Linked DNA regions of Arabidopsis thaliana. The protein of the gene in region 2 interacts with the protein of the main gene of each other region in a pairwise test. Each region holds a gene or a part of one and is shown on either strand. Other genes may lie near its edges.

Region 1 (3,842 bases), 7.7 Mb from region 2:
AGGTTCACGTCTACAATCGCAAGTAGAGCCCACGGGACGAGAATGCCACGTGTTCGTATAGGTTTGCTGAACGATTGCGAAACGTGATCCCCTCTTTGCAAAATTTAAACACTTTTTGGACCAAAACTTTTATGTCTTTTTAATAATAATACGAAACATATTTAAATTCATATTTAATTTATATATGAATTTCTTAAAAATATAACTATGTCATTGTGAGAAAATTCTAACATATATTTATCTATCTATCAAAATGCAGAGGTCGCGTATGTTAAACAAACAATAAACCTTATAGTACTGGTGGTAAATAGTCATCAACCAAAAGTAGAACATCTGATGATAAAGAGACGATATATTTTCAGAAAAAAATTAAAGATAGAACTTGGTCCGAATTCTGCTTCTAAAACAATTTTCCAACAATTATTATAGTATTTCATTTGTCTGATTCATGTCATATCTAAACACCAATATTTGTATGTGACGACTATAATCATTTAGGACTAAGTTCTAATATAGGAGTTGCCAACAAAAAAATTCCAATGGACCTTTAAAGGTTAAAAGTCTAAAAACATGTCCTATGTTTTTGTGAAAGCCCACTTTTAAGTAATTCTTTTACAAATGAGGCCCACATAAACCTTATATATGACGACGAGACAGTAACACAAATTTTGATTAACTAGAAATGTCATCAACACCTCAAACATATGGTTTTGTATATATTAAGATAATTTATTATCACACCTCAAACATTATTACTATTTAATAATTATCATAAATAAAGAAATATATATATGTTACTTTGTTAGTAGTTATGCATATTTCATTTAAGTTATTATATTTCTTTTATACTGCTAATACAATATATCACATATATTATTTCTTATTATCTTAAAAATTGTTTGATAATTTCAAACATGTGTCACACTAATGTAAAATGCTAACATATATTAAATTTTTGTTACATACTATATGTTAAGATATTTAATTTCAAACACCTCAAACCACACATTATTACGCTAACAGTTAATCCATAAGTAACAAAAAAAAAAATGAAAGGAGAAAAAAAGTATAAATACGGATAGAGGAGCTAAATTTGTATGCTCAGAACTTAGAATATTTAGGGGAAAAGTTGTCGCAACAAATTCCACAACAACATAAAAGCAATGATGGAAGTTTATATTATTGTCGTCGTACGTGTAAGCAACCGTTAGTTTGGTTGTTATCGTTGGTACTGTATTTTGTTGTAGCATCTGTTATCGTTGTCTCGTGACGGAGAATAATTAAACTCGAACAGTCACTACCGGCGATGACACATGGAAATAGATAAAGACTGTTGCTTTCGTGATCATCACGGTGGGGGTTGTGATGAACATGGCGGAGGATGCGGAGGATATAACGATTCTGCTTACATTATGAATTTATGATGCTATAGTTTATGTCCTTCGTTAAAAAATAATAATGTAGTGGAAGCTTTGGTATATTCTTATAAGAGAATACTTGAAACCTTTGGAGTCATCTAGAGACTTCCGGTCTTTACGGTTAACAACAAACTTAACGTTTCATCTTCACACGCGGCCACGTGGTGCCTTCAAGAACGTTCTACTTTACTCTCTCCGCAACTGCTTTTATAACTTGAAAAATCCTAATTTTCTCTCAACCTTCAAATCTCAAATTTCTCGCATTTTCTCGGGAAAATCGTAACGAAACAAACAAAATAACTTCTCCTCCGGCGAAACAAATTCCGGTACTTGTTAATTCTCGATCGTCTCCTTCTCTGGTTCGTAGTACAACCTAGGAATAGAATTTTCCCGCGTTTTTTTCCCCATTCGTCTGATCAGAATCCATTGCTTCGATTTACAGTTTTTAGAATGTATAAGTGGAATCTTCCTTACCGAAAAGATGACGTGGAGACCGGCCGTGAAGGCGGTGAGAGATCTCTGTATCCGACTATGCTTGAGAGCCCCGAACTCCGATGGGGTTTCATCAGAAAGGTATATTCCATAATCGCATTCCAGCTTTTAGCAACCATCGCCGTCGCCTCCACGGTGGTTTTTGTCCGTCCGATCGCCGTGTTCTTCGCCACTACTAGTGCCGGTCTCGCTCTCTGGATTGTCTTAATCATCACGCCTCTTATAGGTAACCAAATTATCAATCATTAATTCGATGATTATTTGATTTAGGTTTTTGGTTTAATTTGTTATTGTTTTGCTGTTGCAGTAATGTGTCCTTTGTACTATTACCACCAGAAACATCCAGTGAATTATTTGCTTCTAGGGATTTTCACGGTAGCTTTGGCTTTCGCCGTCGGATTAACATGTGCTTTCACCAGCGGTAAGGCTTTCCTTGTGAAACACTCTAGTTCTCTTTATTCGTTTCTGTCCTTTCAAGGGTCGGTCTTATTAATTGCTTGAAATCACACGCTTAAGATATAATATAAAATTAGTCTGTGAGACCTCCAACACATTTGAGCTGGGTTTGAATTTCCTCATACTCAATACAACTGGTTCATTGAAGATTGATGTTCCATGGTTGCATAGAAACATTGGATTGTTTTAATCCAAATTCGATAAACGAACCATAGAGTTTTGGGAGTATAAATTTATTCATTAGAGTTTGGAACTTTGTTGTTGGAACAGGGAAAGTGATTCTTGAGGCAGCGATTTTGACAACAGTAGTGGTGCTTTCCTTAACCGTCTACACCTTTTGGGCAGCAAAGAAAGGATATGACTTTAACTTCCTCGGTCCATTCTTGTTTGGTGCTCTCATCGTTCTCATGGTCTTTGCCCTTATTCAGGTTCCTGTCCCTTACAATTGCTTGTTTTGGTTTAACATTCGAAATTCAGGTTTAAAACTGAGCCTGATCGTGGTGCTTTGGGTTCTATTTGTTTTTTTGCAGATTTTCTTCCCGTTGGGACGGATCTCAGTGATGATCTATGGATGTTTGGCTGCGATAATATTCTGCGGGTACATAGTTTACGATACAGACAATCTCATCAAACGTTACAGCTACGATGAGTATATTTGGGCAGCAGTTTCGCTCTACTTAGATATTATCAACCTCTTCTTGGCTCTCCTTACCATTTTCAGAGCTGCCGAGTGAAGCTTCTTTACTCCTTTTTTAAGTCTCGATCAGTGTTATTATCATGTTTTTAAAATGTGTAAATCTCTAATATTGTTTGTTAACGAAACTTATTTTCTCTGTAGTATTCTCATGTACAAAACATAACCTGGCAGTGTATCTTTTAAAGTAATCGAATAGTATTGAAATTTGCGGCTTGGAGACGGTAGATTTTGTTGTTTAAACACACCACAGCTACGTCTGCTTTGAAAATTGAAACGCAAACGTAGAACAAATTTGGAATTTAAACTATTAGCAATATACAAATTTCTTTTAAACCCTACGGAAAAGCAAAAAACAGATATTAGCAAAAGTGTTTCTCTTTCATATCAAACTTCAATACGTTTCCATTCACATGAACATTATTTAGCTTACTTGCAACAACAGTTCTAACTATCAAGGAGATGGAGGCGGTTGCACGCACCCACAAAACGCAAACCGCTTTTTAATCCTCTTTCGTCGCTCACCTCTCACTCCGCTATAGATATAATCCCGAAGAAGAATCCTCGTTTTGCTATCCGATATCTTTGCTTTTGCTCGATCCTCTCTATCTCCTTCCAGTTTCAGTAACAGAAACTGTAATCTCTGTATCTCCAACTGTAACCTACCAATCTTCTCTGATCCTCTTCTCGCCTGTTCTGATATCCTCCTCCTTCTGCTACTCTCATTCTCATCAAGATCCATTGATGATTTGCTTCCATCTGATCTTTCAAATCCATTTTGA
Region 2 (4,504 bases):
GACGGTCTGATAAAACAATATAACAACCTGATTGTCTGCCTCATTTCAGCAGAGTAATCTATTTATAAGTGAATACCACAGATATCAAACTTTATTGCAAGAGAAAAATAGTACACAAAAGCATCATACAGGTAATATAGTATCATATGTACGCATATTCAATTAAATTACGTCGATGCTCCTGTATGCATAAGTAGAGTGTTCTGTATAATATTTATAGACTTACCGTTCTGAAGTACTCTAGGGCTTCATCATTAATCGTGCATAATTCATAACAAAGTTGAACTCCTGTTATAAGAACCCCATGATGCTTTTCTTTAAGCAAGGAAGCAGCAGCATTTACGAAGTTTTCTGCTAGATCTGGAACTTTCCTTATTATTCTAGTAGAGCAAAGCGCCGCCTGCATATAATACAACATAAATGGTAAAGGCAATGAAGGAAAAAAAAAAAGCGACTAAACTCCAGGAGACCCTGTATATGAATTAGAAAACACTTCACCTTCTTTCGGATATTAGGGTCACGAAACTGGATTAATCTTTCTACTTCTGGCGCAAGATCACGGGCCATTTCTGCTGAACAAATATTCCCTAAAGCACAGAGAGCAAGTCCTACAACATACTGGTTCGAGTGATTAAGATCTCTGCACGTGACTTAAGGTTAAACAGGAACAAATCTATTTAAATATTTTTCTCCTTAATTCCCATAACAGCAATGCAATCAAAAATCAAGTGTTCTCTAGTATTTTTTAACATAGAAGAAGAATCCATTCAAAGGCCAAGGTATCAAGATTTAATACTAGAAATTAGTAAGGATACTGTTTTAACGAATTTGTGACAAGCATCAACACTTCTTGTCTCTCATCAAGAAGCAACATTAGCCCTAGATATCCAATCCTCTTCTCTGGAAATCCAGGAGATGCAATTAGCTTCAAGCACTCCATCTGCCCAAAGTGTGTGGGATAACCCAGCATGTGTATAAACATGAGTTTCGCAAGGTTCCGGTGCCGATCATGCGGGTCATCTTCATTAATCAATGCTCGAATATCGGCACACTCCTTTCTTACAACAGCTCGCTCCTCCGCAGCTGTTTTGCATGCTCTTATGGCACGGATCATGTCCCTGAATCATACTCATATGTCCACTATAACTTCAGAACCATATACAATAATCCGATCTGATTCCACTATTAAACCCCAACAGCAACATGACCAATCCAATATTCAATTAAATTAAGCAAAAGGATTACCAAAAATCCTTAGTGTGATCATGTTCTTAGACTAAAATCAAAATTCTAAATGGAATCAGAAACACCAATACCAAATTCATCTTCGAAACAGGCCAATCAACAAAATTCAATCCTCAAATGAAAACGAGCTCAATTACATCATGTTATATTCAAATTTCATTTGTAAGCTGATCAACGACTAAGAAACCTGAAACAGAAACGATAAAAAGGAAAGAAGAGAATCAATTTACCTTAAACGAGTACCAGAAGAAAAGGGATTCATGATTTGGGGTGTTCAAGAGTTGGACCTTGGTCCACCGGCAACTTTACGAGGAATCTGAAGAAAATGAAAACTTAGCCGGGAAGAAGAGTTTCGCCGCCGGGATTGTGAAAATCCGTTACCGGAGTTTCGAGTAGCTGATCAATACGAGAGAGAGAGATGAAAATGAAACTGAGGATTTGGATCTCGATGGACGATGCTCGTTTTTTTCTTCTCAGTCTTCGTAAACCATAATTGCCAAATTAAATGCGTTGTATAAACATGACTTCCATTTCCACCTAAACGGTAACGTTTCGACCAGCAATCCTCTCAAAACAAAAACATAGACTGGGCCGTTTCTTTATAGTTAAACACATAAATGGGCCCTACTTGGGCCGTTTTTATTAGTCAAATTTGAGAGGGTCGATGATACGCGCTCTTTCATTGGTTGTTACACAAATTCTCCCCTACACTTGAACACATCATAGTATCGCTCAGGCCCTAGTATCTTTTTAAAACCTTTAAAGATGCTAAGCAGCAAAAATAAGTAACACAACACAAGTTACACAGAACAGTCGCTTTCTCCTCTCGATTTTGACATGGCTTGGGGATTTTCGTCCGTGTCTCTCTTCTTGTTCGTCGTTTTCAATCTGGGTATATTTTCAAAAATCTGTTAATTCAGTTGAATTTCCCAACCCAAAATTCGAATTTTTAATTTTCCTCATGATTTTGTTACAGTGAGTGGTAAGATAGTTTTAGAAGAAGGGTACGAAGTCACAACGGTGGTCGATGGCCATAAGTCTGGTCTGAATCCATACACGATTCATGCTTTACCAGGATCTTCTAATCTGATCGTCCTTGATTCTTCCGGCAGTACATTTTACACTACTTCCTTTCCTTTGTCCGTTGGTAAACACCCACAAAACCACTCTTTTGTCTCATCTATTAATCGGATCATTATAATTGTGTTTGTATATGAGTTGTAAATTCATGGATGCATAAGTAAATGTTTAGAGCTTGTTGATTTTGATTGCAAGTCTTGACCTTCATTTTTTCTTTCTCCGTAATCTCAAATTGGACCACAATACTAATATGTGTGTGTATGTGTGTGAAACGATCAACCTGCAAATAAAAGTTCTAAACTTTACTATAAGTGAAAATTTTGTTTATCTTTCTTTCAATTGAAGTTTGAGCTCACTTTGAGTATGTGTGTGTGGTTGTGCAGATAGTGTGATAAACCGGTTTGCTGGGGATGGGAGTTCGGGTCATGTAGATGGTAAAGCTGGTAACAGCCGGTTCAGCAAACCCCGTGGTTTTGCTGTGGATGCTAAAGGGAATGTTTATGTTGCTGATAAGAGTAATAAAGCTATACGGAAGATCAGCTCTTCAGGTGTTTGTTTAATCCATTTCTTGTATTCCTTTTGTATAAATGCTAGTTGTTGTTGTTGTCTAATCTTAGTTTGTTGAAAGAGCCACTTAGTTTATTTTGATTATGCATGTTTTATTTACTGGACTTTGTAGGTTCTGTAACCACCATTGCTGGAGGGATCTCAAAGGCATTTGGACACAGAGATGGACCTGCACAGAATGCTACTTTCTCTAGCGATTTCGAGATAACTTTTGTTCCTCAAAGATGTTGTTTGCTTGTTTCTGATCATGGAAATGAAATGATTCGCCAGATAAATCTTAAGGAGGAGGATTGCCTCGAAAACTCTCATTCTAGTATGTCTTTTCTATAAGTAATCTTTTGTGGATTTGACTAACCATGCCTTTGGAAACTTCAACGATTCTTCTTTCACTGTTTCAGATTTGGGGACATACTCTCTTTGGTCAATAGGGATTGTCCTTTCCTGCATTCTCGGGGTAGCCATTGGATTTGCTGTTCGCCCTTACGTCATCCGTCATGTAAGTTTTTTTTAATCTATCCTCATATTACATACTAGTGTATAATCAACATATCAAATCTCTTAAACCAAATCGTTATAGACAGGAAGAAGTGAACCACCTCTCGTTCATCATGACATGGAAGCTTCTCCTAACCAAATTGGGGGAACAAGTTCTGACCTTCTTCTCCTACATTAGAAACCGAGTTGCTGAATCAACCGTTTATTCAGTATTAAGTAGACTAGTTATGATGATCGTGTCTCACCTTTCCCTCATGTATTCCGCCCTAAGTAGTTTAATTTGTTCGATGGTATCTAGCCTTTTCTTCATGTGTCAACCCAATAATGTAGCTATTTTAGACAAAACAGTCTCTGTGTCTGATCCCGAGAGTCCAGGTTGCGGCAACCCAAAGCCGCCCCTTTCACTGAAACCCTCTGATGATCTTATTGACCTAATAAGCTTTGATGATGAACAAGAACCTAACAATGACAAAGATTGCAGGAATGAAGAGACTCTTCCTCATGCAACCATAGATGACATTATAAAGGTTCATGTTGAAGAATTTTCAAAGATGGCTGAAGAAGATACTGTAATTCATGGTTCTTCATCTACTGAGTAGGTTTCAGTTAAAAGCACATGAATCAGAGAGTATGTGTCTTTTGTAAATGTAAAGTTTGGTTGAGTTGAAAAATCTTTGAATATTTATTGAAGTGCTCATCTTTTTTTCTTTATATCAAGGAAGAATGATTAATCTTTGGTACTTTTCTTACAAGAGAGATCTAAATACCCAAATCCCTATTGTGCCTTCTCAACAAATTTTAAAAAACTATACCTGAATTCCCAATCTCTACTACTACTATCATATTAAGCAACTTCTCATGTCTATGAATAGTATCCATATGGGTAACTCACAAATTGGTGAGCTCTGTGGTGGATATTCTGATGAGTATTCATCTGGTCTTGCTCCTGGCCTGGCCCAAACACAATCTCATTAGTCTTCTCGCTGCTCTGCTCATAAAGAGTGTATGGGATTGTTGAGTGATGCCTATGGTGATACTGCTGATGCTTCTCTTGTTGCTGCTCCTGGAGGAATTCGGCGTCCAAGCTTCTGTACAAGGCACGGCTTTGGCGCAGCTG

Evidence for each region. Proteins that work in one complex are often made in the same cells at the same time.
Region 1: the proteins of AT1G23890 (region 2) and AT1G03070 interact in a protein complementation assay, tested with the Arabidopsis thaliana proteins (one large-scale study listed by BioGRID).

The regions. Positions count from the first base shown.
Region 1 is NC_003070.9:728,280-732,121, forward strand, and holds AT1G03070 (Bax inhibitor-1 family protein), read left to right. Parts: upstream 1-1,550; 5' UTR 1,551-1,744; exon of another isoform or gene 1,745-1,860; 5' UTR 1,861-1,868; coding exon 1,869-2,136; intron 2,137-2,217; coding exon 2,218-2,331; intron 2,332-2,636; coding exon 2,637-2,794; intron 2,795-2,896; coding exon 2,897-3,100; 3' UTR 3,101-3,286; downstream 3,287-3,842. Other genes in the region: NET1D (kinase interacting (KIP1-like) family protein), read right to left, coding at 3,515-3,842.
Region 2 is NC_003070.9:8,438,382-8,442,885, reverse strand, and holds AT1G23890 (NHL domain-containing protein), read left to right. Parts: upstream 1-2,019; 5' UTR 2,020-2,082; coding exon 2,083-2,137; intron 2,138-2,221; coding exon 2,222-2,392; intron 2,393-2,708; coding exon 2,709-2,873; intron 2,874-3,004; coding exon 3,005-3,205; intron 3,206-3,290; coding exon 3,291-3,388; intron 3,389-3,469; coding exon of another isoform or gene 3,470-3,473; coding exon 3,474-3,986; downstream 3,987-4,504. Other genes in the region: GAMMA-ADAPTIN 1 (gamma-adaptin 1), read right to left, coding at 227-400, 499-640, 816-1,118, 1,476-1,507; AT1G23880 (NHL domain-containing protein), read right to left, coding at 4,250-4,504.